Rhinolophus ferrumequinum: one gene and its partners. The protein of the gene in region 4 purifies or fractionates together with the protein of the main gene of each other region. This does not show direct contact. Links are inferred from orthologs where the notes say so. Each region holds a gene or a part of one and is shown on either strand. Other genes may lie near its edges. The genes, in order: PLXNA1, FAM241A, mitochondrial chaperone BCS1 and NRP1.

The links.
Region 1: the proteins of NRP1 (region 4) and PLXNA1 purify together in Homo sapiens (affinity purification with western blotting; 4 studies listed by BioGRID). This does not show direct contact. The link is inferred for Rhinolophus ferrumequinum from reciprocal best matches to the Homo sapiens genes NRP1 and PLXNA1.
Region 2: the proteins of NRP1 (region 4) and FAM241A purify together in Homo sapiens (affinity purification with mass spectrometry; 3 studies listed by BioGRID and IntAct, with this or other methods). This does not show direct contact. The link is inferred for Rhinolophus ferrumequinum from reciprocal best matches to the Homo sapiens genes NRP1 and FAM241A.
Region 3: the proteins of NRP1 (region 4) and mitochondrial chaperone BCS1 purify together in Homo sapiens (affinity purification with mass spectrometry; 3 studies listed by BioGRID and IntAct, counting the BioPlex papers as one, with this or other methods). This does not show direct contact. The link is inferred for Rhinolophus ferrumequinum from reciprocal best matches to the Homo sapiens genes NRP1 and BCS1L.

What each region holds. Positions count from the first base shown.
Region 1 is NC_046302.1:2,593,057-2,601,423, forward strand, and holds the start of PLXNA1 (plexin-A1), read right to left. Parts: upstream 3,163-8,367; 5' UTR 3,120-3,162; intron 1-3,119. UniProt on the Homo sapiens protein: Coreceptor for SEMA3A, SEMA3C, SEMA3F and SEMA6D. Necessary for signaling by class 3 semaphorins and subsequent remodeling of the cytoskeleton. Plays a role in axon guidance, invasive growth and cell migration.
Region 2 is NC_046301.1:768-8,364, forward strand, and holds the start of FAM241A (uncharacterized protein FAM241A), read left to right. Parts: upstream 1-4,317; 5' UTR 4,318-4,478; coding exon 4,479-4,634; intron 4,635-7,597.
Region 3 is NC_046291.1:16,706,126-16,713,634, reverse strand, and holds the start of mitochondrial chaperone BCS1, read left to right. Parts: upstream 1-4,107; 5' UTR 4,108-4,196; intron 4,197-4,207; exon of another isoform or gene 4,208-4,340; intron 4,341-5,412; 5' UTR 5,413-5,459; coding exon 5,460-5,779; intron 5,780-5,885; coding exon 5,886-6,025; intron 6,026-6,225; coding exon 6,226-6,420; intron 6,421-6,676; coding exon 6,677-6,740; intron 6,741-6,975; coding exon 6,976-7,145; intron 7,146-7,328; coding exon 7,329-7,446; intron 7,447-7,509. Other genes in the region: ZNF142 (zinc finger protein 142), read right to left, coding at 1-296, 2,340-2,619. UniProt on the Homo sapiens protein: Chaperone necessary for the incorporation of Rieske iron-sulfur protein UQCRFS1 into the mitochondrial respiratory chain complex III.
Region 4 is NC_046288.1:4,335,865-4,343,693, forward strand, and holds the start of NRP1 (neuropilin-1), read right to left. Parts: upstream 3,178-7,829; 5' UTR 2,969-3,177; intron 2,346-2,968; 5' UTR 1,884-2,345; coding exon 1,799-1,883; intron 1-1,798. UniProt on the Homo sapiens protein: Cell-surface receptor involved in the development of the cardiovascular system, in angiogenesis, in the formation of certain neuronal circuits and in organogenesis outside the nervous system. Mediates the chemorepulsant activity of semaphorins.

The DNA of each region.
Region 1 (8,367 bases), on a different chromosome or scaffold from region 4:
CCTTGAGGATCTTTGCCCAGACATAGCCCCAAAACCTACAGTCACCAGGGACCTCTGCTGGCAGCCAGGAGAGGAGTCCCCAGCCCCTAACCCCCAGCCTCCAGCTCAGGAGCCCAAGGCAGACCAGTAGGCGGAGAACAGGCTCCTCACAGTGGCAGTGGGGCCTGGACTGAAAGCTGAGTGCATGTGAACTCCAAAGAAAACATGAATCACTCACCGTTTATCAGTTCAAAGCAGACCTGCAATTACCAGGGGCTGGGCTCTCCCCTCTTCAGGGATAATTATACACGTCTTAATGCAATCAGGGGCCCTACTTTTTATATTAAACAGGAGGGACCCAGCTGAAAAAGCCACCATCCAAACTCAGGCCTGGCCCTGGGCCCACTCCCCCTGCCCCCAACAGAGGCTTCCTGGTAAAGAAGGGACCGGCCAGAGGCATGGGGCTGCCAGCTAGGAAACGGGGATCAGGAACCCAGGGTTGGCTCCTTCATGCCCATCATTTCACAAGGCCCAGGAAAGACGTCTGGGTCACTGCCCCTATCTTACTGATACAGGGCCCAAGGCTCAGATAGATCCAAGGTCACCCAGCTAGTCCCAGCAGGACAGGGACGGAATCCCAGGCTCCTACAGAGACCTGGATGACCAACAGACCTGCTGGGGCTCGACTCCCACGTGCCTTTGGTCTGCCCAGGAAAAAATGCATTCATTCCAAAGCTGCCTGAGTGCTGGGAAGGACCACGCTGGGTTGGAGGAGGAGAGCACCACACCTGCAGTGCTCTGTGGCTGGGAGGGAGCAGAACAAGCCACTGTGGTCTGAGGAGGCTCCCCCAGGGGGCCTTTCCACCTGTTCTAGAAGGACCAGGCACAGTGGGAGCTGGCATGGGAGGGGGCATCCTGGGTGGCAGAGCAGCAAGAGCAAAGGCCTGGGGGTGGAACCTGCTGGACAACGCAGAGAGGGCAATGGGAATGACCGCAGCTTCCTGGCTTCGGCATGAGAAGCAGGCTCTGCTGGGGCCCAGTCAGAGCCAGACTGGGGAGTGAGAAGCTGAACTGGCGTTAAGTGTGTGAATGGGGGTGAGCCAGGGAGAGAGAGGCCAGGACAGAGGCAGACAGGCCTGGTATAGCAGGCACCATTCCTGGACAGGACGGGCTCAGCTGTACAGGAGAACATGGAGAGATCAAGGTCCCGCGCCCCTCTCCCAGCCACCACTCCTCCTCACCCTGAGAAACAAAGGCCCTCACTCAGCCCTGTTCGCAGAGGCAGAGCCCAGGCCCCACGCCTCAGGCTCTGGATCCTTCTGGGGCTCAGACAGGTTAGGGCACCGGCAGGGAGTGGGGGACAGAGAAAAGACACTGCCATCCTGCCCAGTGGTGCCCCATTGTCAACCAGGACAGAGAGCCACCTCTGTCAGACCCCTGCCCCCAACACAGGCCCCGGGAGGTGGTACTGAGACGCCCTGTTCTCCCACCAGACCAGTCCTAGGGGCCCAGCACCGGGAAGCATTACAGTCCTGCTTCTCAAAAAGTGCCCACCACTTGATCTTCCCTAGAAGTGGTGCCCTCTCCTCCTATGGCTTGCTTCTTAGACAAGGGGACCTTCCTGGGGTATCAAAAGATGCAGGCAAGGACCTGGGGACCACAGCAAACCAGAAAAGAGCTGTGTGCTTTGTCCACGGCACCTCACTTGTCCCCCACCCCCAAGCACACACCTCAGCCACACAGGGGCTTGCCAGACCTCCACCCATGCTGTCCCCTGCCTGAAACGCCCTTGCTAGGCCCTGAAGCGGAATCACTGGTTTTCCAGTCTGCTTCTGGCCTGGGACTGGGTGCTCCTCAAGGGCTGGGCAGGGTCTTAGCAGTCTCGTGCAACACCTGGTCTCTCCTGTGTACCCCAAACGGGTAAGGAGCTGAAGGTACCTGGGTCGTGCTTCACAAGGGCCAGAGGAGCAAAGGCTGAGCCCCACCCCCCTGCCCAAAGCCAGAGAACCGGCCTCAGCACGGAAGAAGGGGAAGGACCCCAGGCTCAGGGGGCAGAGGCATGGTCCACATCCCACCCCTGAACACACACACCCCTTTCTTTCAAGGGGCGTGGTCCCAGCACCCCACAGATCAGCTAGGGCTGCTCCAGTCTCTAGGCAGTCATTGCAGCCCCTCTCACCCCCCTTTCCCGGGCTGCACCTGGGATCTCACAGAGGCCAGGGTCCTCCCTGGCGCCCTGCTCCCCCTTCCCCTTCCCGGAGGCAGTCCCGAATCAGCCCCGCCGCCCCCAGCTCCGGTACACACCAGGCCCGGGCCAGGGACTATCCAGGAAGCAATCGGAAGCCTCCGAGGGAAGCAAGCTGACCCTGGAGAGGCCCTGCGAGGGGGAGGCCTAGGAAGGCCCGAGACAGCGGGGCGGCCTCCCGGGCGGCACCCGCACCGCCCCCTCCCAGCCCGGGTGCGCGGCCCAGCGGGCCTGGAACGGACATAGCGCCCATTTCCCAGCACCCGGGGCCAGAGGGGCCAGGGGCGGGCCTGGGACCCGAGGAAGCGGCTCTAACTTCCACCCCCGCGCTCTGAGGGCCGACCAGGGGCGCAGCCCCGCATGCCCTCCTTTGGCTCCCGCGGCCTTGCCCGGGCCTGCCCAGACCGGCCCAGCCCTACCGGCGGCCAGAGGTCCCAGCCGCGGTCCAGCCTCCGGGCTCGGCCTGGGTATCCGCAGGGCCCTCCCAGTAGGGCCGCCTCAAACTTTCTCTCCTGCCTTAGAGGAGAGAGCAGCGCCAGCCCTAGCCCCGCTGCGCCGCCCGGAGCGCTGCCCGGAGGAGCTCGGAGGGCCGGGCCGGCGGGGAGGCCCACGGCGCGGGGCCTGGGGCTGGGTCCGACCCCCGCCGGGCTAGGACACGACGCGTTCAGTACCGGCGCCGCGGCCGCGCCCGGATACACGCGAGAGCCGGGCCGGAGCCGCAGGGACACAGGGACACGAACGCCGCAGTCCTCCGCGTACACCCCTTGCCCACCCGGCCTCACGTCCGCGCACCCTGGGCGGCTCGACCGAGGGCGCTTCCCACCCGGCGCGCCCCCGGCCCGAGACCCCCGCCTGTCCCGCCCCGCGCCACGGGGAAAGTTGCGCTCCTACTCACCGGCTGCCCCCGGGCGCGCCTTGCCGCCGGCCATCGCCGCGCTCCGCCGCCCGCCCAGCCGCTGCTTGCCCAGCCGCCGGGCCGCCGAAGCCGTACAGGCCGCCCAGGCCGAGGCCGCCGCCGCGCCGGGGCTCCGCTGCGTGGCCGCGTCGCCGCTGCCCAGCATGAATGGGGAGCCGAGCTCCGCGCGGCTGCGGACTAGCCTCGATCTCGCCGCCTGCGGAACGCCTGGCCGCGCGCATGCGCCGCCCGAGGCCGGGGGGCGAGGCAGGGGGGCGGGGCAGGCGCGGGCGTCGGGGGCCGGCAGAGGCCTCCAGAGGGCGCTCTGCCCCGCGCCGCACGCCCGCCCCGGCCCACCGCGCGCCTTCAAACGGTGATGCAGCAGCCTGCTGTTAGTGGCTGGGCGCGGGGTCTGCGGCGGGGCGTCCCCGCGAGCCCCCCGCATCCGGGCTGACCTGAGCCTGCGTCCCCAGAGGCCTCCGTGTGCCCGGGTTAGGAGCACAACCTCCATTCACGGAAGAGTAAACAGGCCGGAGGAGGGAAAACACCCTACCCTGGGTCATGCGGGACTGTGGTGTGGGTCCCCCCACCTCTTGGCCTTGGCGATCGCATCTGTTAGGTGGGATGGATACCCTCGCTAGTGAGCAAAACGGCGCCCTCTGCTGGCCGGGCCGCACAACACCCTACATCCCTCAAAACCTCTCAGCTGCGCATTCACAGACCCAGACGCAACCCAGAAGGAAATTTCCGTCGCCGAGTCCCGAGATGGGGCGTGGCAGGACATGAATCCAGGCCGTCCGAGCCAGAGGCCGGGCGCGCCGCGGGACGCGGGTATCGGGGGCCGGGGCTGTCCACCGAGGGCGCGAGGCCCCGTGGCCCAGCAGGGGGCATACAGCAGTCATTCGTGATGGTGCTTGCCTGCGCGTTCTCAGAGCCGCCCAAAGGTTGGGGCGTGGGGACGCCTCCCCACAGAAGGCCCCGTGGAAGGTGAGGCGAGGCGCAGGAGCACCTTTAGTAGAACCGAAAGGACCAGAGAGCCTCGCGGTTGAAGGGTGAGCTGGGTAGGGGAGAGCAGCAGAGCACGGAGAAGCTCTCTTGCTGTGTGAGTACCTGCCTGTCATCCCCACAGAAGAGGAAACGGCTACAGTCCCGGGTAAGGAACACGGCCGGGCGCAGGGGTCCCTCCCCCCTCGCCCCTCCCTCCCGCCGTGCAGCCCCTAGCCTAGTTTCTAGGTGAATCCTTCCCTTGGTTTCCTTTGGGTATTTGAACATGCTACTTTGCTGTGATTGTGGGGCGGCGTAAAAAACGCGATCTCTGGGCTGTGTGGGCCCAGCAAGGCCGGGTTGCTGATGGGCAGTTTGTTTACTCTTTGTTATGTCTTAGCAGGTGGTGCTAGTCATCTTTTCTCCTGCTGATGAACCAGCTCCCCAGTTTGGGACCACTGTGCAGTGAGCTGTGATGGACATCTTGTGCAGGCTCTTGGAGGCGGTTAGATCTGATGCGCGGCTAAATCATCAGGTAGCTGAGTGTTTAGCTTTGATGGGCACCCCAAAGCAGTTTTCCCTAGTGATAGCCGGGTTTGCAGTCCCAGCAGCAGTTTGGGTCCTGGCAGCCCCCATCCTCGCCTACATTTGGTACTGTCACTCTGGAGTTATCTATCTGGTAGTATGCACCGATTTATCGTTGTGGTTTTAATTTGCATGTCCCTGAATAAGGGTGAGCATCTCTTTCAAAAGTTCTGTTTACTATTTTATTGAATAAGCACTAATCTAGCTAGTGCTGACACTGCACAGGGTTCTGCTACATTTTAAAGATGGGTAAACTGAGGTGGGAGAGGTGAAGTGGCTTGCCCAAGTTCCCTAGCTGGTAGGTGTCAGAGCTGGGGGGCTACTTCTCACAGTATATTTCCATGGCCTGTGGTCTCAACTTAGCCACTGTACTACACACACACACACACACACACACACACACACACACGCCTGTGAACCAGACCCAAGTACCTGCCCTTCCTTGTGAACGTCTGAGCCACATACCTAGCTTCACATTCTGGAGTGGCTAGTTAAGGTGCAGCGAGTCCCATCTGTTGCCAAGACCCACTTTCCTCATCTGCGAGATGGAGTCAGAGACCCCTCACTGAAGCGCGGTGAGGAGGCGTGAGTGTGAGCACCACAGTGGGCCTGAGAAAATGTCTATTCCCTGCTTCCTGTGTTGGCACCAGGGCTGTCCCCACCTCTCTGACTGCTCCTTGACAGCCTATCCTCTGTGGGTCCACTGAGGCAGGCACTGCACAAGACCCTTCTCACTCTGTGTTCCACAGTCCCAAGAGCCAGGGCTGCTGCTTTGCGTTCCAGCCCCCCATGTCTATTGTCTCCCCGAGGGGCTCAGGAGGGCTGCTGGGCTCTGGGTGGTGGCCAAGCTCACACGCTCACATCCTACAGTCGCCCCACCAAGAACCTCAGTGTCCCCCAGGGCCCCTGCATCCCCCAAAACATGTTATACCAGATTATACCACTACCCTCTATCCCCACTTTGTCCCCTGCTCCTGATCATGTCACTTTGTCCTTTCCCCAAAAGGTGACGGGTGGCAAGTTCTTTCCAAGATGGAAATCTGATTATGTAATGCTCGCGTATCATGCGTGACCATCAATTCCAGGAGGGCCATAGACCTGAGCACAATGAGGAAAACTGCAAGACTTTTAGAAGACAACAGAGCAAATTAGCTTTATGACCGTGGGCCAGGGAAGATTTCTTCAATGAAACATCAAAAATAAATAAGAATCAATTTGAGTACCTTAAAACTGGTTATTTTTGTTCATTAAAATTACAGAGTTCAGTAAGAGTTACAAAAGAGGAAGTGGCCAGACAAGCCAAGATTTAGGAAAAGATATTTGCAACACACATATATTTGACAAAAGATGCATACCCGGGCTTTAGAAGGAACTCACAAGAATCAATAAGGAAAAGACAACAACCCAGTAGGAACATAGGGAGGAGACAGGCAGTTTGTTGAAGAGAAAATGGGAAATAACGTACTCCAATGAGCCAAGTGTGGTGGTCCCCACCAGGTGGAGCTTTGTCTGACCTTCCCTTAGTGTGTTTGTGTGTGTGTCCTGATGCTGCCTTCCAAGGAGCCTGCCCCAAGTACAGATGAAGAGGAGTGAGGTCCAGCTGGATTCGCACCTGGGTGTGTGGCCCTGGTGCTCCTCATCGTGCATGATGGGGGCAAATGAGTCAACAGGACAGTTTGGGCCCTTCCTGTCTGGTCTCCTCTGTGGTTTTGCTTCTGGTTGCCAAGTAGTTCAGGAAGGCATGGGGTTGTTGAATGGCACAGAACAATTCCTAGGTAGAGCTCTGATCAAGGTTTGAGAGGAGGTTCTTTCAGTACCTCCCAGTGTTCCTGCCATGCAAGCAGCTCCAGGGGCTGCTTCCGCCATTTGGTAACTCAGAGCTTTGCTCGAAAGTAGACTCAAGGGTGCCTTCTTCCCTCCCCGTCACTGATGGGTGAGGAGGACAGGGGAGGGAGCACAAGGGGTCCTGGGCACCCGAAACCCCTGCGGGACAGCCACTGATCCCAGGCCCCTGGGCTCAAAGCTAGGGTCACCCTGACTCCTGCCTGCCCCTCGCCCCACATCAAAACTGTTTCTCATGTCTCTTACTCCTGTCACCTCCTGCCCCACAGGTGTGGAGGCCTCCTTAGTCACCAGCTCCCACCTGCCCCTCCCCGCCTTGCTCTCCGCACTGTGGCCAGAGGGATCTGAGAGAGGAGAGAGTGTGGAGACCCTCCCTGTGCAGACCCTCCAGCGGTTCCTTCAACACACAGAATGCTCCATCCCCGCACCCATATGAGTACAGACATATGCACGTGTGCATACACACTGGCGGAAGGCATGGAGCAGGTACTCCCTGGCTGTTCCTCGACATTTGGTGGGCACTTGCCTTGGGCCGGCCCTGAGTGTACAGCACCGGGAGTCATCTTGGCTCTTCCTCACGCACCCCTGTGGGGTTGGTGCTGTCAGCCTCAGCCCACAGGCTGCCACTGTGGACACAACGCAGTCACTGCTACATTCTAGGAGCCCACTCTAGCTGCTGGATGCAGAGGGGGTTGGGGCGCCTGTTCAGGAGCCAGAGCCATGCCCACACCCCAAGCCTTTGGCCCACGGCTCTAAAGCAGGAGGATAGGAGCTCACCCAGGTGCAGACACTCTGAAGAGAAGGCCACTAGGCCCACCGTGGCCTCCTCCATCTGCCAACCCCTGCCCTCACCAGTCAGGCGCTGTTGGTTTCAGGACACAGAAACTCAACTGGGCTTAAGCTCCAAGTAGCCTATAGTGGCTCAGGTTAGCAGCAAGTGAGCATGGCTGGGTCTCGGGCACAGCATGGCCATAGTGGGCCACTACCTTGGTTCACGCCCACACAGGCCTCTGTGTATGGTGGCTTTGGCACCTCCAGGTGCTTCTTTCCCAGTAGGTCCCGGGAAATTCCCAGAATGGAGCCTCATGAAGTGGGCTGGATTAGGCTCTTTCCCTTGGCCCCTTGAACCAGTTACCATGGCCAAGGGATAGAACCTGACTGTTGATGGGCGGGGATCGGGTAGCTCTCCAGAGCCAGGGGTAGCATCGGGGAGTGGTTCCCTCACCGAAAATCCTGGTGCAATTAGCAAAACAAGGATGCAGGGTAGGCAAAGCATCCAGGACCCCACCTACCTAACTGCTACTACTTCACTGTGCTCAGTGTTCTTGTCATGCTGAGAGTCTTGCTCCAAAGATGCCTTTGCACCTCAGGTCTTTCCCTGTGCTGTGCCCTTGTCCAGGAGTGCCCCCGCCTCCACCTTCCATCTTTCAAGGCCCATGTTCCCACCCGTACCCCTTCCAGAAAGCTTTTTTGACTACAGCCCTTCCCACCTGTGAATCCGCCTCAGGCTTCCTGTCCCTGTCTGTGCCAGCTGTGACCAGTCTAGGCTCAGGTATGTCACCAGCCCTCACCTGGCCTTGGGGATGCAACCAGGTTACTGTCAGCACTACATTGTATAGAAGACACGGTAGCAGTGCTCCCTACCCACCACTCCATAGATACTCTCCAAGAGCACTGGGGAGTCAGCATTGCCTTGTCCTGGGGCTGCTAGCTCAGATGACTTCAGGGGCTAAATGATAATGGATGTAAAGAGTAAGAGGCTGGATCTAGGAGCTGGTGAGGGCTAGAGTGGGCGATGACCTGGAGGGCAATTGTGGAAAGCACGGACATGCTCTTG
Region 2 (7,597 bases), on a different chromosome or scaffold from region 4:
AGTGAGGTGATGCAGGTCAGCTCCTGCCCACACGTGATGGGCCCTCACTACCCCTCCCTCTTCCCTTCTCAGTCCTTTCTCTACCTCTATGGGCTGGAAGGATCAAGCATTTAGCAAACAGCCTCCTGGTGGCAGAATGAGCTCTACTGTTGGTGTCCACACAGCCACAGCCCGCTGAGTGCTGACTCTGGCATCTGTGCCAGCTTCATCCTTGGGGCGGTGCTCACCACGGCCCCTCCCTGGTCTTCTCACCCTTGCTCTTCTTCAAAATCATGGTCCCCGCTTCAGCTCAGGCTAGAGCGCCTCTCACAAGTCTTCTCACTGGTCTCTCTGCTTCCTGTCCCTGCAACCTCCACGCCATGACCAGCTTGATATTTCTAAGCTAGGGATCTAAGCCTGTCGCTTCCTGTGAGTAGAACTACCAAGAGCTTCCATTTAGGGTAGGGAACAAAGTCTATCATCGGCACAATGTCCATTGTCTTTATCAGGCTTCATGTTCTTCTCCTGGTGTCATTTGCTATCATAACACCCCAATTCACTCACCAGGTACCCCCGCTGTCAGCATTAATCTGTATGGTTGGATGACAGGTGTGGACTTTAACAGATAGAGGCACCAGAACTGAGACTGAGCCTGAATGTGGGAACCTGAATACAGACTTTAGTGAATAATAATGCATCAACATTTGTTCATTAATTGTAACAATTCTGGAAAGAGAAATTATAAGTAAAATAAGATAAACCTATTGCATAATAATGGGTAATTTCCTAGTAGAAATAGACATTAACAAAACAGACCCTAAAATAAGGAAAATACAAACAGATCAGTTAGCCATCCAGGACTTCTTCACCTGCTGGTTCTCCTCTCGTTGTTCTGGGGTTCCCTCTCCCGAGACAGAGAAGGGACAAGAACAGAGCTGGTCAGCAGCTTCCTTAAGGTCTGACCCCACCCAGTGTCCTTATGTCCCCCACTTGTGCCCTTCCCCCACCCAGTGAGGACACCTTGCAAAGGGAGTCTCAGGGATTATTGATTCTAATCAGTCAACCAGGACTTTTTTGATTGGGAAGAACTGGACACACTTACTGAAGTACAATTAATTAATAATTGTTTCAATGGCAGCAGTACATTAATACTTGCAAGAGGCAACTTAAGAGTTGTTCAAGTTCTCACAGTCACACTGTGTGAGCTGATCTCTCTCCAACACTCCGTCCTGCTAAGTGCCTTTCGGTGGCCCCATTCACACGCACAGTCTCTCTCCCTGCATCCAGGGTCTCCAGCCACTCTTTCCCATTGGGTCCCATGAAATGTCACGGCTTTAAATACGCATGGCTAGGGTCACGTTCTCATGCTTGAACCCATCAGAGCACCCAGAGGATGGAACAGACAATGGACTAGATGTGGGGTCAGCCCTCTGGAACTGTTTGGAATGGAAGCAGGTGAGATGAGTTCCCTGGAAGCTGAGGTGCTGGACTTGGGCCCAAAAACAGAAGCTGGGTCAGGGAAAGCAACAGATTCCATATCACTGAACCCGAACCCTAACCCCCTAAACCCAACCTGAAACCCCAAACGTAAAAAACCCTTAAATTCTAAACACTAAACCCTTAACCATAAGCCTAAATCTTAACCTAAACTGTAAAACCTTATAACCAGAAACCAGAACCAGAACTATAAACCAAAACCTAAACCCTACTAAATTATAACTATAAACCATAAACAATAAACTGTGAACCATAATCATAAGCCATAACTATAACCATAAACTATAGCCATAACCATAAACCATAAACTGTAATCATAAATCATAATCCAAAACCAACAACATAAACATAGCCATAAACAATAAACATAATGCATAACATATTAACATAAACCACAAACTGTACACATAGCCATAAACAATAACCATAAACTATAACCAAACCATAACCCATAACCTTAACCCCTAACTGGGCACTATACTTTACCTCAGCCCCAACCCTAGCTCTGTAAACCACTAACAATAGCCCCTATCCAATCAAATCACAAATACATCACAAAACAAAATATACAGACCTATATTCCTTATAAAGACGTAACAATGCTCCATAAAATAGGAATATGAAACCAACTACACATTAATATAATTATGCACCATAAGCAACTGTGTTTACACCAGAAATTTGAAGGTTGTTCAATGTACTGAAACCAAACTATGGAATACCCAGCAACAACTGTCGCGTCCAGCATGACGTGGATTGTGGGGAGGGAGAAGAGCAGCACAAGGTTAAGAAAAGACAGTAGCCATGATTATAATACGAGCGTGGCCAAGGGTCTCAAGTCTCAAGGACTGAGCCCGAATCGGGCCAACGCGTAGTTTTTATTGGTAAACTTCTAAAGAGGTAAAAGATGGTTAATCTCAAGATCTGTGTGTTAGTAGCCTGCTGGCTGTCTTTCTGAAAGTTCCTATTGTGTTCCAGCTTGTACTTTGCCTTCACAGACACGCACATCTCCAAGGAATCCATTGAAGGGGAGGGACCGATATAATTCCATCGGGTCTCAGTTTGCTGAGACTTCCCCTCAAAGGAGCTTTTCCGATATCTCTCCATCGGGCCTCAGTTTGCTGAGGCACTCCCTTGTGAAATCCTGGGAAGAGCACAGGGGAACAAACGGATTGGCAGCTGTAAGGCAACAAACAACAGTATGAAGGAAAAACACGTGATCACATCAGTGAGGCACAAAAAGCTTTTCACAAATCCCAGTCCTATTTCATGATCTAAACACTCAAGAATGTAGGAATAAAAGGAAGTTTCTTCAATATGATCAAGAACTTTAGCCAATACTGGGCCGGCCCGGTGGCTCAGGCGGTTAGAGCTCCATGCTCCTAACTCTGAAGGCTGCGGTTCAATTCCCACATGGGCCAGTGGGTTCTCAACCACAAGGTTGCCGGTAGGATTCCTTGAGTCCCGCAAGGGATGGTGGGCTGCACCCCCTGCAACTAGTAATGGCAACTGGACCTAGAGTTGAGCTGTGCACTCCACAACTAAGATTGAAAGGACAACAACTTGACTTGGAAAAAAGTCCTGGAAGTACACACTGTTCCCCAGTAAAGTCCTGTTCCCCTTCCCTAATAAAATCTCTAAAAAAAAAAAAAAAGAAAGAAAGAAAGAAAGAAAGAAGTCCCCAAAAAAATTAAAAAATTAAAAAAAAGATTAGGCAAATAATGGCAAATATCATAGCTCTTTTTTTAAGATGACAGATTTATTCCTGAAATCAGGAACAATGCCAGGATGCTGGCTTTCACCACAGTCATTCCATAATGTCCATCTGGAAAGCTCAATCCAGAGCAATTAGGAAAGGAATGAGAGGCATCCCTATGAAAGGAAAAAGTGAAACTGTCTATTCACAGATGACACATCACATCTTCTTATATATAGAACTTCCAAAAGGATTAACAGAAAAGTGTTACAGCTAGTAAACTAATTCCTCTATAACAAGAAGTAAAAGTTGACAAATCTATGTTCAGTAATTATTTTCTCATATTTGGAAATTATCTAGACATTCAGTGAATATCTGTCATTTAATTTAGATAGCAAAACTTCACAGTTTCAACTTATCAAAGACACATAGAAAACCATATATGTACTCTCTCTATATATATAGAGAGAGAGAAAGAGAGTATATATATAATATACCTATATATATTCTTACCCATTTATAGACATAGACACAAAGGCAGATACACCAACAAATGCTCCCAAGGCTTGTACAACCAACATAGATACTAGAGAGGACACAAAAGGAACAAAAGAGACAAAGAAATATGGATTACTTGCCAGAGTTTGACTATTATGGACACCCAGACACAGCCCAGTGCCATGGCAAACCAGAGGGACAACACTGGAGAATAACTGTGTGCTTCACTCCCTCTCTCTCCCTCTCTCTCCCTCTCCCTCTCTCTCTCTCTCTCTCTCACACACACACACACACACACACACACACACACGCTGTCTCATACACGGTCTCACACCATCTCTCTTAAACATATAGTCTCTCAGTCTGTTACAGTCTCACACACACACACACACACAGGCCCTCAGTCTCACACACAGGCCTTAAGGCTCTCACACACTCAGAGACTGAGGCCCTGAGTCTCACACACACACACACACACACACACAGGCCCTCAGTCTCGCGCGTGCACACGCACACACGCGCACTCCGTCTCACACACGTGGTCTCAGTCTCACGGTCTGTTACGCAGTCTCTCACACGCTCGCTCGCACTCGCGTGCCCCGTCGGCCACGCCCCCTGTGGCTCCTCCCAGAGGCAGGGGCGGGGCCGGTGGGTGACAGGAGGGGCGGGCGGGGCTAGCACTCCAGGAGTCCCGACCACGCACTCGGGAGCCTCGGTCCGCGGCGAGAGGCCCGGTCCTGGGCGGCCCACGGGCGCTGCTGCCTCGCGGGTCGGGACCTGGCCCTCCGGCGGCTGTCGGGGAGGCGAGATGTGCTCGGCTGGAGAGCTGCTCGGCGGCGCCGGCAGCGGGGCGCGCGAAGAGGACGGGGACGCGTTGGCGGAGCGGGCTGCGGCGGGGACCGAGCGGGAGCCCGAGATGAGCTCGCGGCGGCGCGAGCGGCGGTCGCAGGAGGAGCGTGAGCAGGTGAGCGCGGAAGTGGGCGGCGCGGCGGGTCCGTAGCTCTGCGGGCGGGCTGCGCTGGGCCGGGGAGTCGGCCCGCGGCGGTTCCTGCGCTCCTGACGTGCTCCTGCCATGTCACTGCGCCCAGCGGGCCAGCGGGGCTCGGTCGGTCCTTCCCCTAACGTCGGGCAGAGGATTCTCAGGCCGGCGCCTAGGGTTCTGCGCAAGTGCCCTCAACCGTCACTTGTCTCTGTCTTCCATGCGAACACTGTGTTTTCATCTTCGAGTCCGCCCTCGTGCTGCGCCCTAGGGGACAGCTGCGCCCTCCCGCCGCCCTCCTGGCACCTCTGTAAGGTGTTGGTCCCTTTTCCTAGGTGGGTACCCGGTGTCAGAAGGCATGTGGAGGGGCCAGTATTGCAATAGATGTCGTGACAGGGACTATCCCAGAGCACGTTCTTCACATGAATGCAAAAGAGATCTAAATTACATTTAAAAGGTGAAAAAGCAAGATAATCGCTTTCCGTTTGTACCACAGGTACAGAAGTGTGAGACGCCAGCAGTAATAAGGAAAAAGAGAAGTTGGGTAATTTTTGAAACTCCGAATTTTCTCTCACTCAATGGGTGACAATAGGCATTATAACATCAAATATCTTCAAGATTAAGCAAGAAATTTAATAAAAGAAATGTATTGGTGGGGTGAATTTTCAGCAGCAGATACAGTGATTAGGTTTCAAACTTTCCCGAGATTAGCCAACCTTCAGAATCCCGTCTAGGAGCAGGATTCTAACAGATCACTTGCCTTTACTACAGCTTATAATGTTGGGACAGTTGACCCCTCTCCCCTCATCCTCTTCCATCTGTCCTTCCTGTCATATTTCACAAACTCGAATATCACTAAAGGCATTGATAGCTAAAGTATAACTTCTAGTCGTCAACGGTTTATTTAGGAAACAGAATTAACAGTGTGGCACGCAGAACGATGCCTTTGCATTATGTGAAGTGTAATTTTTCATCCTTATGACAATGTAAGACCTAGTGACTAAAGGAAATCATTGGTAGGTAAGAGGTCTTCCTGATTGCCTTCTTGATGTTTTTTTCCAGTTAACTGTACCATGACTCAGTAGCTAAAGGGCTTAGTTTCCTCTTACTTTACTTGTTCAACTGGAAAAGTGAAGAAAACAGACAAAAGGAACTGACTTGGTGATGGGAGTGGGGGTTGCGTTTGAGGTTCCCAAGGTACATTTTCGGATGGCTGTAAGGGAGCATGTAAAATCCTTCACGTGCACCTCTGTGGATTTGGCATCATGGGTAGCTCTGATCTTATCAAAATTGCTTGTGGTTCAAAGAAACAGGGTGAAACAAAAAAAAAAAAGAATGAAACATATATCCCAGAAAACAGATATCACTTTGCATATCTACTTCATTCGTTGCATGTCATGGACATTCATTTTGAAGTACTCCTATGAAAATATTATCATTTTATTTTTAACACATTTATTTACATATACAATAATTGAAAATTACACCTGAGATATGTATTTCTTCCCATATCAGAACTAAAGAACTTCTTATCAAGAGGCCACAAATAAAATTGGTGCAACCCAACCCATTGGTGTAAGAAGCAAGCCTTTTTTTTTTTTTAAATGGGAATAAGTCAGTCTACTTCTTTTTTTTTTTTTTTTTTTTTTAAGATTTTACTGGGGAAGGAGAACAGGACTTTATTGGGGAACAGTGTGTACTTCCAGGCCTTTTCTACAAGTCAAGTTGTTGTCCTTTCAGTCTTAGTTGTGGAGGGCGCAGCTCAGCTCCAGGTCCAGTTGCAGTTTTCTAGTTGCAGGGGGCACAGCCCACCATCCCTTGCAGGACTCCAGGAATTGAACTGGCAACCTTGTGGTTGAGAGCCCACTGGCCCATGTAGGAATCGAACCACAGTCTTCGGAGTTAGGAGCATGGAGCTGTAACTGCCTGAGTCACCGGGCCGTCCCAAGAAGCAAGCTTTTGAGATAAGTCATTTCTTAGTAATATCACAAAGGCTTGTTTTCTAGTTTTTTTTTAATTCCTGCAAATGTAGTGTAAATTTCTTATGCACTCCCTCCAGTGATGTTAGAGATAACTGCAGATAAAAGGGGGAAGTAAATGAGGGAGAAGTAAATCACAACTATACAACATATCCTAAGGAGTTGTTTTATTTAGTTTTTCTTTAGGGGGATGGTGTGTGTTTATTTTGTTGTTTTAAGACACATAAACATTTTGTTGTTTTAAGACACACAAGGTCCAAATTACAAATGGACTGTTTTTGAAAACTTGGTTCATAAACTAGTTATTTAAAACTTAAAGTGAACTGATAAATAGAAACAATGATATAAACAACAGAACCAAAACTAATTACGTAACTGGAAATGAGGCAGAGGCCATCTTCCTGCTGTGCTTTCTACTTAGCACACTTGCTCACTTAGCTTCCAGAGCCTCAGACACCGAGAGAGACATGGAGGCCAAGAAAGGAAGAGGCGCCTTTGAATGCAACAGCTGTGGACGTCACCTGACTTGCTCCTCTGGTGATTTTTGTCAGTCACTACTGTTCTGCATTAAGTCCCTCTCTAGTTCCACTCCTTCGCAGAGTTTCGCCATTACCTGATAATTTGATGAAGCAGTTTCTTCCCCAGGCTAAGGGCTCCTCTACATACTTCCTTTCCTTCACTAATTTTTCTCTCCTCTCCTGTGTGAAAGGCTCACGCCCTTCCCTCAACCAGGAAGCCTCTTACATCAGCTTTGACTTTACAGAAACTATCTTTGGCTCAGGGTTGTCATGATACCAGGTCAAAATGTATCTGTATTTTGGTATTTATTTCACGTAATACTGAAATACTGGTATTAATACAGTTGTTTTCTTAGTAATAGAGATATTGTCAGCAGTAGGTTTGCTCACTTTGTGGAATCATCGAATTTTACAGTTTGTCCATAGTTGCTACTCCATTGGAGAAAAAACT
Region 3 (7,509 bases), on a different chromosome or scaffold from region 4:
GGTGTCAGGAGTGCCCCGGTGAGTCTTGAAGTGGCTCTTCAGGGTCTGGGGTTGGGCAAACTCCTGTCTACACACAGGGCATGGCAGGGGGCTATCTGGTTGGTTCTGGCCCTGCAGAGGGCCAGGGAGAGTGAGGTTGCTGGGGGGCAGCTCTACAGAACATGGAGGGCTAGCGAGGCCCTGCGCAGGCTGCATAAGGGTCTCAGTGCACTGGTGCAGGGCCAGCAGAGTGGGCTCTGCGAAGCTCTGCTCACAGTGCTCACAGAAGTACACCTCCACCACCTTTACCAGGACACCTGCAGGCAGAGGACCGACAGAAAAAGGCATAGAATCAGATGGAACAAGATGCGTAGGAGTTAGTTTCTAGCAGAAAACATAGGTGAATCTTAATATTCATGGAGTGGAGACGGACTTTAAGTCTGGTTCTGCCCCTGGACCACAAACCCCATCAGGGGAGGGACAGTCTGCCTTGCAGATGTGTTTGAATTCCCAGTATCTAGCACAATACTTGGCACAAAGTAAGTACTTAAGTATTTGTTAAATGAATGTAGCAAGCATTAACCAAATTAGAAAGCATTAAGAAAAGGCAATATATTTTGCCCAGATGAAAAATCAGAAACTTAAAAAAAAAAAAAGAAAATGACAATCTCAGGACACTATCTGCTATATTACAATATGAGTGTTACATTCTGTAAAGAGATTTTTATCAGCACAGTAATTCATAAAATGGAGAACATCCTTTTTGAAAACAGCCAAATCCTGTTCATAATAATCACTGCCATTTCTTAAGCAATGGGCAGGACCTTGATAAAGACAGGCTTAGGAAACACTTTTGGTCCTCCAACTGCCCTATGAAAAGAGGGCCCCGGGATTCTGTGAGGTTAAGGCCACCATGTTTGTTAATGGTGGAGCCATGACTCACGCCCAGGTTTGTCTTATATTTATTCTGGTGGTCCTTTTTCTCGTTATGATTTTTTTGTTTGTTTAAATAAATATTGAGTGCAACAATTCAAACAATACAGACATATTTCACAAAAAGAATATTTCCCATCCCCCCCCCACACACACACAGTTTGGTCTGTATCCTTTCAGGCCCTTTGGGGGCATTTTTCTGCAATTTGCCTATTTTTTTTCACTTATCTATTTTTTTTAATCTATGAGTACATTTACATCTACTTCATATTTTTTTTAGTTCACAGTACTTCTGCGCACAGATAAATTAAAATGAAATTCTGTCCTTACTGATGGACATTTGAGTTGTTTCCAACCATTACAAATAAAGCTACACATCCTTACCCCGTATCCTTGCACATGTGTGTGAGTCTATAGGACAAATCCCAACAAGTGGAATTACTGGGTCCGAGTATGCATATTTTAAAATTTTTTAGTTATTTTTAACTGGAATTTATTGGTGTGTTAGTGAGATTAAGCATCTTTATAGTTACTATTTTTATTTCTTCTTTATTGAATTTCATATAGATTTCTCCCCCCACTTTTTTTTTTAAAAAATACTGTTTCAATTTTTAAAAAAATACTGTTTCTTTTTTCTTATTGTGGAGCTCTTTAAGTTTTAAAGATATTAACTCTTTCTTATACATTGCAAATGTTTTTCCCAGGTATGTTTTTTATTTATTATTTCTTTACTGATTAGAAGTTTAGAAATATTATATGATCAAATTAACTAATCTTTCCCCGTGTTCTTTGTACACTGCCAAGGGAAGTTGTGACAACTATAGTTAAAGGATGGCAGTTAAAAAACAGGAAATTACTTAAAAATAAGAAGTTATAGATGTGGGAAGAATAAAGGGGAGAATCTTTCTTCTAGCGTAAGTGTAAATGTTCAACTCCCACTCTTAACCACATGCCTTGGATGAGTTAAGTATGTTATACACAAGAAACTAGGGCAGGGAAATACCTGCCCAGATTACCTCTGGGAAGCCCTGCCAAGTCCAGGGTAGTAGAGAGAGGCTGGGCATTTTGCCTAATCCCTGGCTGCAGTTCCTGGGTGGGAGGGTCAATATGGGGGAAAGAATCCCCAAGGATTATTGGAGTAAGGATTGGCGGAGGTGTCAGAAAGGTCTTCCCTTCTGGATTACTGCTTAGCAGACATGAAGCCCTTACAGGGACAGACTGTCAAGAGCTTGGTACAAGGTTGTGCACCACCTTGCCAGCCTTCAATCAACATTTACCAACTGCAAATCCTATTACCACATCCCTAAGTATAAAGATAGGATGCTACCTTGTGTTCTCATCATATTTATAGAGACGGAACAAAAATAGCACAGACGAAAATCTCAAGGCTGTTCGCCCCACTGGCCTGCTAGCAACTGTGTTCATACCTGAGGTCTCTCCAGGAGCACCTGGGGACAGATTTCCAGCTACTGCTTCTACAATGATCTCCATGTTCCCTGTGTCCTCTTCAGTGGCTGTGGTCTCTACCAGCAGGCAGCTTGGGTTAGCAGGTAAAGGTGTGGGGTCCCCAGAAGGACAGGGGCTCTGGACAGGCTCCAGGATTCCAGGGTTAGAGAGCGGTGGGGGGATCAGCAATAGCTCAGGACACAGTCCATCCATCTCTCCAGTGCTGTTGCTTGGCTGTGAGTCCAACACGGGGTCTGTCATTACCACCAACTTGTGTGCTACGGTCTCTTAAGTGCTGATAAAACAACTAGAAGAGAAACCAAATAAAATATAGTAAGATCTCTCACTTTCTTCCCATTTGATGTGAGTGGACAACCCAGAGCCTGCCCCCTTAGATACTGCCTTGCATGGCAGCATGCCACAACTCATCAACCTAGAAGTTTTATTTTTATGACAATGTCTAGAACAAAAAGTATAAAAATTATAAGAGGGATTAATATTAGGAGAGAGCCAACAAGTTTGGGCCACTATATTAAAGACCGCAGGTGAAGTTTTTGGAGCTAAGTGACATTGGTCAAACCATGAAGCAATCTGGATCTCTCTTCTTAGCTGCAACAAAATCGGGTGGGGCCCAGGGATCTCAGATGGCCCTTCCCTTCTTAACATTTCATGAACTCACTCACTATTCCTTAGTATGGGTATGAGGCCCTTCCTTCACCATCTGGCCCCTGCTGACCTCTCCAGACTCATCTTCCGTCAACAGACCTCTGAACCACTCATACCAATGATCTGCCATTCCCCACACTCACCACATCCTTTTCCTTCTGTACGTTCACACATTGTGTGTCTGCCTGTCTCTCGGCTTTACGGGCCTTTCCCCCTTCTCATTTTTGTCTGGCTAACCAACTCCTTTAAGAATCTGCACACATGTCACTTCCACTACGAAGGTTTCCTGACAGGTTAAGGCAGAAAGGCCTGGGGAATGAATGAGACCTGGCCTGGGGACCACAGGCGCCGGGTTTCCACCTGACTGTGGGCTCTGACTCACCGCGTGGATTTGGACAGATACAGTCACCTCGCTTCTCTGGGCCTCAGCTTTCTTATCTGTAAAGTGGAGGCGACGACAGAGTCCACATCGCTGGACAGGAGGCGGAATCACAGACCGGGCGAATGGGAAAGCCGATTTGTAACCTGCAAAGCTTGGGATGAAGCATTGTCATGATTACGGTCCTGAGGAGAGCCAGCGGGTGACAGGGCGGGGTCCAGAGCAGTGACGCGATTGAGGAACTGGGGCAGCTGATGTGATGCGCCGGGGCCCCGCTCGTCGGCGTGCTCCCTTCAGCACCTCCTTTCAAGGGTTCCCACTTCCCAGTCCCACCCTCATTCTGGGGCTCGAGAAACTTTTCCCTCCAGCCCGCTCCATCCACACTCCCTACTAGCTCGCTCCCCGCAGCCGCTCAATTACCTTTCGGCCCAGAACCGGCAGGAGCCGCATCTCTATGATCGACCAGAAGCTGGAGCGGCCTCCCAGGACTCCCTTTATGCGACCGCCTCCGGCCCAGCGGCCTCTATGGCATTGGGCCTATGGAGACCGCTCTCTCTACCTCTTGGCGGCGGGAGTAGTACTCTATGGTTTTCTCTATCGTTTCCCCAACCTCCAACTCCTCCCAGCCAAGAAGCCCGAGGAGCACCATCGAGAGTTGTGGAGCAGAGTGGCACGGCGCTCGTGGTGGGCGTGGCGGGAAGTAGATGAGCGAACTCGGGGCGGGGCCGAGTGGCGCTTCCCTGGAGTGCGGAGCGGTGAAACCACTGAGAGGGAGGGCCAGAGAGTCATGGCGGTAAGGGGGCGGAGTGACACATTACTCCAGAGCACGTTGCTGGAGGCGCGAGCTGGGGTGTGGAGGCTGTTCGGGAGGGGGCTTCTGAGCGTCCATCAAGGACCCGGAACGGATAGGGCTTTGTCTGTGGCCTTCCATGCATAGGTATTTTGGAATTCTGGTTCCAACTCTGAGCCTCAGCGGAGGTCACTGCTGTCAGTTCACCGCTCCGCGTGCCAGGAGCACAGCGAAGTGCAGGGGGCCGGGGAGGTGTACTAAAAACCATTTGGCTTCCTACCTTTCGGGATCTTATAGTCTAGAATTAGACACGGTCACGTTTTATTGCGGAGAATTCTGAAAAATCACCATGGAGAAAGTAGCAGATGAGGAGGACTTCAGTTGGAGAGAAATTAAAATAGGCTTTCAAGTTGAGAGAACTGCTTGAGCCAGGAGGTGGGAAGTGGTTTGCATATTTGTTCAACAGGGAGTTAGTTTTAGGAGCTGAGCCATGAAAGGTAGGTGGGCGGTTTGTTATGGAGGGCTTTGAGTATCAGGCAAAGGGGTTTTTGTTTGTTTTTTACTTAATTCAGGGGTCCGTTGAGAGTGTTGAGTAGGGATAGTAATTAAAGCCAATCTGTATGAAGACCTGGGCCTCTGTATAGCAGTTTCGTGAAGCAGGGAGTGGAGACCAATTAAGTGCCATTTCAAGAACTAAATTTTAAAGAGACTTAAGGTAGGAGGTAATAAAGGGCTAAACAGGACATCAGGAATTGAGCATGTAAAGGAGAGGATATTCGAAGGACGTCACTCATGGTAACAAGGCTTGGGGTTACTGACAGGTCAGGGGAAGACAATGGCTTCATCCCCTCCTAACTCTGGCCAGGGGGCCCCTTTCTATCTCAGCTGGTCCCAGGGACCACAAAAATTCTGTTATCCTGTTGTGAAGCTGGTTACACTGTACTCTCAGAAGTAAGAGATCTCCAGACATAGTTTTCTTTCAGGAAACAGGTATGAGCAGTACAATGATGGGCAAAATGGGCCAAGGGGCCTGGAGGCTCAGCCCTTGCGTCACAACACCATGGCCGTCCCACAAAGGGAGGATATTAAAGTACACAGTAGCTGACCTGTCTTTCCTGCTCCCAGCTTTTGCAGGAGGAGGGGGAGGGGAGGAATTGTGGAGTCCAGTTTCTAAACTAATCTTGTGCTTTGTCCCATCCCCACTGCACCCCATCCCCAGGTTTTGAAAAGGCTTCAGGGCCTGTGAGGTTGTGTTTCCCTTTTAAGATGCCCCTCTCAGACTTTATTCTGGCCCTGAAGGACAATCCGTATTTTGGGGCTGGATTTGGACTGGTGGGTGTGGGCACGGCCCTGGCCGTGGCCCGGAAGGGCGCCCAGCTAGGCCTGGTGGCATTCCGGCGCCATTACATGATCACACTGGAAGTCCCTGCTCGAGACCGGAGCTATGCCTGGTTGCTGAGCTGGCTCACCCGCCATAGTACCCGTACGCAGCACCTCAGTGTCGAGACCTCGTACCTTCAGCATGAGAGTGGCCGCATCTCCACTAAGTTTGAATTTGTCCCCAGCCCTGGAAACCACTTTATCTGGTAAGGTGGGGAGCCAGGGAGGGAGGGCTCCAAGAGTAGAAGAGGAGAATGAGGAGAGCTGAGTTTCACCAGTTCATTCACCCCAATTTTGATCATTCTTATTCAGGTATCAGGGGAAATGGATCCGAGTGGAACGAAGCCGAGATATGCAGATGATAGACCTGCAGACGGGGACTCCTTGGGAATCTGTCACCTTCACGGCTCTGGGCACTGACCGCAAGGTTTTCTTCAACATCCTGGAGGAAGGTGTGGTATGATGGCATAGGCAGGCTCTATGGGGGCTTGCAGGGATGGGGGCATTTAACCTAGAGAAAATAAGCTTGGAAGCTATGAGCCGCTGGGAGCAGGGGGCCGGGGGAAGCTGTTTTTGTTTTTGCCTTAGTTGCACGGCAGAGAGGAATACTGACTTTGTTTCATATCGCCCCTCCCCCACCCCCTGCCTCCAGCTCGAGATTTAGCCTTGCAGCAGGAGGAAGGGAAGACAGTGATGTACACAGCCGTGGGCTCTGAATGGCGCTCCTTTGGCTATCCACGCCGGCGGCGGCCACTGGATTCTGTGGTTCTAGAACAGGGCTTGTCTGAGCGAATTGTCAGAGACATCCGGGAATTCATCGATAACCCCAAGTGGTACATTGACAGAGGTGAGCAGTGGCTGGGGTCTTGGTCAGACCGTGTTTGATGTTAGAGCAGGAGGAAACAGGCTAGTCTCTGGCCAGATGGAATGCATGTAAAGCTCTAGCCCAGTTCCCAGAGATGAAGGGAAAGTTGCCTACGGTGATGATTTCTTCCAATGCCAAGGTCCTTGGGCCTCCGAGGAGCAGGGTGGGACTGAATGTGGACATCTGGGGTAGAGTACATGATTTTAGGCCTTGGTGATCATCCTGGCGGTATTTCTAGGCATTCCTTACAGACGTGGCTACTTGCTTTATGGACCCCCTGGTTGTGGAAAGAGCAGTTTTATGTAAGTAGTCAATGTTTCTCTTAATCCTCAAACTGGAGGAAAACTGGGCTGATGGGATTGGAAAGAGAAAGGAATGTGGGGAACAGGGACCAGAATAAACATGAGACATGAGGAACATTAGGGTGGGGTGGTGGGAGGGGTAGGCCTGAGACACACCTAGTACAGTGAGGAACAAGCAGTGGGCCCAAGGACGAATTCCCAGGTTGCTAACCATCCGTCCCCCCATCTTCTGTAGCACAGCCCTGGCTGGGGAACTGGAGCACAGCATCTGCTTACTGAGTCTCACAGACTCCAGCCTCTCCGATGACCGGCTCAACCACCTGCTGAGTGTGGCCCCTCAGCAGAGCCTGGTGCTCCTGGAAGACGTGGATGCTGCCTTTCTCAGTCGAGACCTGGCTGTGGACAGTAAGTAAGGGGAGTTGAGGGAAGGGGTTTCTAAATGAACAGTAGAAGAAAAGTGGGAATCCGGGGGGCTGCTGGAGGTTGCCTGGGCTAGCAGTAAGAGCCCACAGAGACGCAATAAGTAGGGGAATGTGGTGGGGAACAGAAAGGACTGATTTTAAGCTTCTTTCTCTCTGCCTTCTATAGACCCAGTAAAGTACCAAGGTCTAGGTCGTCTCACCTTCAGTGGACTGCTCAATGCTTTGGATGGTGTGGCTTCCACTGAGGCCCGCATTGTGTTCATGACCACCAACCACGTGGACAGGTAGGAAGGAGTGAGGTACTCTGAGGCCAGGCTCCACCTCAGCGTCTTAGGAGGATTAGGAGG
Region 4 (7,829 bases):
GAGTGAAATAAAACAGCACTGCTTCTAGTCACTCGACAGAGTCACTTCAGAAGACATTTAGGTAGACTCGGTACCACACCAGAGCTCTTTAATCTGTGACTTCTGAGAAAGTGACAGTGTAATAAGATAATGTGGACTGCTAGACTCTCTGGCTCTGTTCAATCTCTCTAGCAGTTGATTAAGAAAGAGCAATTTCTAATGACTCTGAACCATTAGTCCTAAATAAGGTTAATGAATTAATTTAGCAGACTCTGGTACTCAGAGGAGGTGGACATGGCTTTAAGAGGTCTGCTGAATTACAGAAGCTGTGGTCACTGCAAGCATAGCAACATGGCTTTAACCAGTCAAGCTCACTGACAAGCTCAGGTTCTTAGCATTCCCCTAATTTCTACTAAGAAAAGATATATATATATATATATATATATATATATATATATATATATATATGTAGTCATACACACTTATATACATATATATGGCGTTCACAACCTAAAGTCTGAAATCTATTTGCATTAGGTTTCAAATTCATTCTGTGATCACCCCTGCAACTGATTAATCTCAGGAGTTGGGGAGGGTGAGTTGCTGCAATTTCTAAAATCTAACCACTTGGGCTCTTTCAAATGGAGGAGAATGTTATTTCATTCCCTACCAGATTATAGAAATATGCCACCAACTCAGGTTCATTAATAAATTGAACTTCATATTCACAAATCTGTGAGTATATTTTGCTTCCAAGCCCTTTAGAACACTGCTTGGTAGCCGTGGGTGGAAATCTATTGCTTCAATCAAAAAACCTCCAAAAAGCATATTAGATAGATTAACTTCCACCATAAAGACATGATTTAAATTCCTCTTGGTCTGAACCCCCTCCACTTGTGGTCACTTATTAAAACAATATACCTCAGTAAGTAGTGGATGGTCTTTTCTTCTAATTACTTTGATTGAAATCTAAGCCAGACAAAAGTAAACATTTGATAATTAGTTAATAATCGCTGAAGATTTACTGGAAAGATAATTTCATATCCTTGCCTTCTCCTACTTCACAGTGCAAATGAAACATGCCTACAACCAGATCACATTTTAAAACACATTATTTAGGTTACAGTATACTGTTTATAATGCAGCACAGTCTTTCATTTACTTAACAGTGGGTGATTTGTAAAGCTAAGTGGAAGCTGTATCTAGGTTAGGGATTTTCAGATATCCCGGTGCCTTACACTGTATATATCAGATTCCTTTATTGACACTATGAACTTTCATTCATGCTTCAGACAGATTAGGGACGATTTACAAAGGCTGAGGAGGGAGTTCAATCAACCAACAAACCACTATCTCTTGCAGGCACCCACCAGAGGAAACAGTTTAGGGGAGCTGCAAGGGAACCAGGAAGTTCTCCCGGTAAAGCGTTCATTAACTTTCAACAGCCTTCAGATTTTTGAAAGGGAGTCTCATTCTAATTGCCTTTGGGAGGAAACATTATTAAGATAATTGGTGTGCTGATATGGGAAGGTAGGCAGCGCTGCCTTGTAACAGTGGTGGGAAAACCCCCACAGCCAAAGCACCAACTTCAGGAGGGAGCCGGAGGACTTGAAATCTTCCTGCCCCAAACCGACTGGTCTTATTTCTTTATTTCTCCGCCTGGATAAAAAGTTTCTTTCGCCTGGGAGGTGGCTATTCCGGTTTCATCCCTGCAGCGCTGCGTGAATCGTGGCTGGGCGGGAAGCCTCGCCCGGGCCGGGTCCGGCAGCTAGGGAGCCCCGGACCCGCGCTGTCACGCGCGCCTCTGCCTGTCACTTACCGTTGCGAAAAGCGCTGGCCGGGGCGGGGGCGAGGGCGAGGGCGAGGACGAGCGCGGCGCAGAGGAGCTGCGGCCCCCTCTCCATTCTCCCTTCGCCGGATCCCCAGCAGACTCGGGAGAACGAGGACGTGCGGGGAAAATAGAGCAAAGAGGGGAATCTAAACAATCCGAAGCGCTCCAACTCCGCCTAGAGCTGTAAAATCCTCAGTCCGTCTTGGAGAAAGGAAAGCAGCGAGGCAATGCCTTGATCGGAGAGCAAGGCTTCTCTTTTTGTGTCTCAAGTCACTTGCATCCTGTCATTTAGCTCCGGTTTCCTCTCTCTTTTCCCACACTTGTTCCTCTTCCAGGAGCCACTGCCCGGGCCATGTCTCAAAAAAAAAAAAAAAAAAAAAAAAAAAAAGCGCGGGGGGGTGGGGGAAGCTGCGTGGGGGAGGAGGGAGGTGGGGAAGCACACAAGCCAATTTCCAGAAAGAAAGAAAAAATAATCCGGCTTGTCTCTGGGCCGCTTGGAGCCGAGGAGCTGGCGCCCAGGGGAGGTCCGGGGTGTCTGCGCGACAGAGAGGAGCAAGCAATGAGAAGATGAGCGGGAGGCAGAGGAGTTTCACCAACTGCACCCCCGCCTCCCCCACCTCCCGTCTTCCCCCTCCCCTCCTGGAGCCATTCCCTCGCTTCCTCCCGCCCCTCTCCCCGCACTGGCTCGCCAGTCAGTGTCTGACAGGAGACGGGGAGGAACAAGTTTCCCTGGGTGTGCTTTCCCATCCGTCCGTCCGTCTCTACCAGAGGCCCTGCAGGGATCTCTGCAGGAGGGAGGCGCTGGGGTCTGCGCCCTGGGCATGTGTGAGAGGGAGTCGAGGTGGGGGCCAGCGACAGTGTTGGGCTCTGTTACCTCCGCGTGCTCGCTCGGGACCCCAGTGGGGACAGCAGGCAGCTCGCAGAGGATCTCCGGGATCCAGCCGCCAGGAGCACCGAGCGCCCGGGAGGTGGCGGCTGCTTCTCACAGCTCTGAACCCCCGGCCAGCGTCCGCCCGGCTAGGAGCTCAGACTCAGCCCCTGCCATTCCCCGCGGTGCCGGCCGGAGACCTGTAGCAGGGAGCCGCGGGGCTCCCCTGGATGCCCCGGGCCAGGGCTGCAGGGACAGGGCGGAGAGCGAGGCTGGAGCGGGATACGCACCACAGAGCTGGGCAACGGTGGGCAGTGTCGCTGCCACGTTAAGCCGTGTCAGATCACGGCCTCCCTTCCCCGTGACAGGGAGCGCGATTGAGCGCTCATGGTGCCCAGGTAGCCGCCTCACGCCGCGGTGTTGGTGTCCTCTCCTCCGGGGTAGAGGAAACGCCGGAGGGTGGGAGGTGATGCGACTGCCAGCTGTGTGTATGTGTGTGTGTGTGTGTGTGTGTGTGTGTGTGTGGGCGGGGGGCAGCCGTCGTCCGACCCCACCCAACCCATGTCTCGGAGCCCAGGTGATCCGGGTTTGGAAATGAGGGGTTCAGTGGCCCCGGTTTCTGTGCATCCCAAGGGAGGTGGCGCAGTGGTAGCGGAAGAAAGAGATGTGCTCTTGGCAGGGCCCTCACGGTGCCCCCTCCGGGCCGCAGGCCATTGTCACCGACGTCCCTTTAGCTCCCGCCCACTCCTACCTCCCAGAGCGGCGCGTCCTCTCTTGTGGGCGGGATGCCCCCCAGTTCCCTTCCTGAGGCTTTCCCAGAACTGCAGCAGAAGGCTCCCGCGGTTAAAAATAGCAAGGGTATATCAGGGAACAAACAGGTTTGGGCCACCGATTAAGCCCTTGACAGGGGTAAATGCCCGCGGACCTCCTCCGAAGGAGTTCGTGGGGAAGGTGAAAAGGTCACTACATCTTCTGGGGATTGGCGTTTAGGTACACACCCGAAAGCAGAGCCTTATTCCTACCTGGCGCAAAGAGCTGGCAAAGGAGATTTAGGAATGTTGGCAAGGAGACACTGGTCAAAGGTTTTGGCGAAAGAACTAGGGGCGGGACAGGAGAAAGGGAGCCCTTGGCAAGCTGGCCGCTGGCAGAGACCCGGCGCTCGCCGGTCCCGGCTGGGCGCAGTAACGCGCGTCTCCAGAGGTGCAGGCTGGCCCAGCGCGCACGGAGGTGCATCCGCGGCGGCTGCAGTCGCCTCTCGTTCTCTGCAGGTCAAGCTTTCCGACCCGCCCGCCAGCTCCCGGGGAGCCCCCGCCTCCAAGCTGGAGACCCAGCCCCCTGGGCGCCTTGAGCCCGCCCTGCCCGCTAGCGCCTCCTTTCCCGCACGCCTCCTTTCCTTCTCGGCTCCGGGACCCCTGGGAGGAGCGGGCTAAGGAGGTGGCACTAGGAGGCTGGGAGTCCAATGTCTAGGCGGGGCAGAAGGAGCGGTGGCGGGGCGCTGGGAATCCCTGCAACCCCAGCTTCAGCGGGCGGGCAGGAGTCAAGGCAGGGGAGCCAGCCGCACCCAGCGCGGCGGGGAGGGAGGGAGCAAATGCGGTGGAGGGAACCCTGGTGTTGGGCTACGACCGGCGCATCGCCTCCTCCCGGCTGACCTCTCCGTCCCGGCCGCAGCCCCGCCAGTCCCAGTCCCGAGCTGCGTCTGGCGAGCGGCTTCATCAGATTTGTGGTGACTTTCAGCGACCTCAGTCCAAAGCTTGGAGGGAGAGGGGCCTCTCAGAAACTGGCAGGTTAACAGAGCAAGGACACCGGGTGGGTGCAGGGGCCGGAGTGTCCCAGAGTCACAGATGCCCTTTTCTTCCGAGTGGGAACTAGGAGGCCCGCTTGCTACAGGAGCCGGGTTTGACCCGTCTATGCCTCGCCGGGGTGAGCAAGGGGGCACACGCGGGAGACTTGAGCTGTGTTGTTTTTAGAAAACTGCTGCCAATCTCTCTTCCCCTTTCCCTGCTGAGTGTGCATTTCCCAGCCTGGACCCACCCGGCTAACGAATAAAGCCATGAGCTCATGCACTCAGAGAGGGACTGCCCCCACTCCACAACCTCGCCCCTCAGGCTACCTGGGAAGGCCTGCCTGTGCCCGGGAAGGGATCCTCCAGTGAGTCCAAGAGCAAAAAATGCCTGTCTCCTTTCTTGCTCACCAGTTTGAACACTTTTGCCAGGCTTTCTCCAACCAACAAATAAAACATGCACTATGCTCTCTGAGGTTTGTGTGTGTGGGGATATCGTATTTAAGTTCTACCTCAGATTTTTCCAGTCTTAGCTGATGGCCTTTCTAAACTCCTTAGCTCCACACAGCACTGGGTAATAGAGCACCATGGCACTGATTGACAATTGCCAGCTAGTGGGTTGATACAGAGTAAATTGTCCTTCCTGAGAACCTCTTTCCTCTGCTTTTGGATTCCACTAAGTGCTGAAAAGGGTCAGTTTTATATTTTTGCAATTCTCCAGCAAGGGAGACAGACCGACCTTTATAGGAGAATAAGTGATAGAGGAAAAATTTGTCAGTGTTCCTGGGTTGATTTTATTTTAGTCTCAGGAACACATCACTCTTCCTGACATAACAAATCCCCAGACTAGATAGGACCCAGTTCCACTGAAGGGAAGATTCATGGCCCACACTCCCAGAACTATGGTCAAAAGCCCTGGGTGGGCAGTACTCGACCACATGGACCCCCCCCATGCAGGGGCTGCTGCAGGAATAAGGCACTTGGCTTCCACCTATAGAAAGCAGGGCCTGAGCAGTGGTCCATCGTTAAGAATAGACCTGGTGGTAAATGTTTGGTTCCTTTCATCAACCTCTCATTAATTTGTCAAAAATAAGATGAGATACATTGCTCCCACAAGGCCATTTGAACCACTAACTTCCTCAAAGTACTTCAGGTTGTTGTAATATGGAGATTCAGGTTGGTATTTCAAAACTCTATCAAGTCTAGTCAAGTTTTTTAAAGCACATATTTCAGAAAAGCAAAAAAAAATATTTTTAGTAAGAGCTAACCTACATTTGAAATGTAAGAGTGGAACAAGTGAAACTGGGAAAGGATTTAAAATTGGAATTTAAATGAACTGTTATTTAAAATATTTTTATTATAAATGCCCTTCCATTAAATGACTCTATCACTCAAGAGGTATCTTTTGGACCATACTTGTGATTATCTCCTTAATTTGGATTAGCAGAGGAAGAAAATAAACACATGAACCTTTACTTTCTGATCCTTCATTTTTGGCCTTTTCAAAGTTACCTTGAAAATTCTTCAAATATTGGAGAAAAGACTACCATCTAAAGTTTAAAAACAAAGTTACAATGCAAAATTCTTGTAATATAATATGTGCAATAACAAGTTGCAGGAATACAATGCTAAAATTTGAATCATATTAATGGATTCAAAACAATTTTTGGTGTTAGAGGTTAGGGATAGAGTTTGAAAACTGTATATTATTTGCCCTAAAACAATAATCTTAGATTATTCTGTCTTCATTGAATCACTTAATTAAGAAATAGTAATAACCAATAGAAACATTCATCAAACCAATAAAACATCACTAGAGAGAACCTATTCAACATTTCAAAAAGGACTATTTTTAAGTAGGACAATCTATAAAATATAATTTGAGCAATCAAATAAGGAAGCGGCTCTCTTAAAATTTAATTATAGTCTTAAATAGAGAAGGAAAATTTTAAGGAATTTTGAAATAATCAGCAAAAATAATTTTAAAAATATAAAATAAAGACCAAAAGCACAGGTAAGAATTGCTGAATTTATCCTACCACAATTTAATTTTATTTTGTACTTTTATTAGATGACTCTGGCTGCTACATGGAAAATGAGTTATGGGTGGAGCAGGGGAAGAAGTAAAAAGACCAGTTAGGAAGTACCTATAGTGGAATCTAAATAAGAGAGTGAACAGGATCATAGAAGTGGAAATTGGAAAAAGATGTATTCCTGATGTATTTAGAAGATATAATTGACAGGACAGATGATGGGATGGATATGCCAGTAAAGGAGAGGGTGTTGTCAGTGACGACCCTTAAGATTCTCGCTTCCATAACTGGATGGGTGGTGGTGATAGCCTTTGAATAGGCAAGGAACACTAGAAGACAAGTGTGAAAGGAAGACCATGAGTTTGATCTGGTCTAGATTTTCAGTCTCTTTGAGACAAATGAATTAGGAATACAAAGGAGTTGTTTGGACTGGAGATACAAATGTGTGAGTCACTGATATGTAGTGATATAATGTAATAATACAGTAATTATAATAATATTGTAATTGAAGTGGAAGAAATGGATAAAATTGCTAAGGGAATTGGAAAAGGAGGCCGAGACAGAAAACTGAGAAACATTTAAAGGCTGGATTGTCAGGATAAGACAACAAAAGACCTTGAGAATGAGCAGCTGAAGAGGTAAGAGGAAAACCAGGAGAGTATACTGTCTTAAAAATCAAGTAGAAGGGAGATTTCCAAAAAGAAATGCTAGACAAAGGAGTTGAATACCCTTGAGAGTGTTAGTTGGTTGAGGACTAAAATGCAACTGGACATAATGGCATGATAGTTACTGAGAGGTGTTTTTAACAAGAGCCATTTTAGTGGTGTAAATGGAGGGACAGGGCTAGAGACCAGATGGAACTGGGCTAGGGAATGAATGGGAGGTAAGAAAGTAGGAACAATGAACAGAGACAATTCTCTCTCAAAATTTCTACCGAAGGAGAGGAGATAGCTCTGGAAGGAAGAGGTGTGGAGGACAGTTGATGTTTTTCTTTTTTGTTTGCTTTTCAGATGAGGTACTTTTGAACATTCTTAAATGCTGATGGGTAGAACCTAGTATTGGTGGAGATGTTGAAAATAAAGCACAGAAAGCAGGAGGGGCTTTAATCCATAGCCCAGAAAAACAGATTTACCCTAGATTGAAAGAGGGACAGCTCCTCTGTTATAAATCTGTGGGAAAAGAGGAACTGATGGGTCTAATGGCAAGCAGGTTTGTCATTCTGGTGGGGGTAGTTTCTCTCTACTCTCTTGCATTTTCTTCTGTCTCATAGAATAAGGGGAGAGGGACAGTTACGAAAAGTCTACAGAGAGGAATCAAATTGGAGTGAAGACCAGGCTG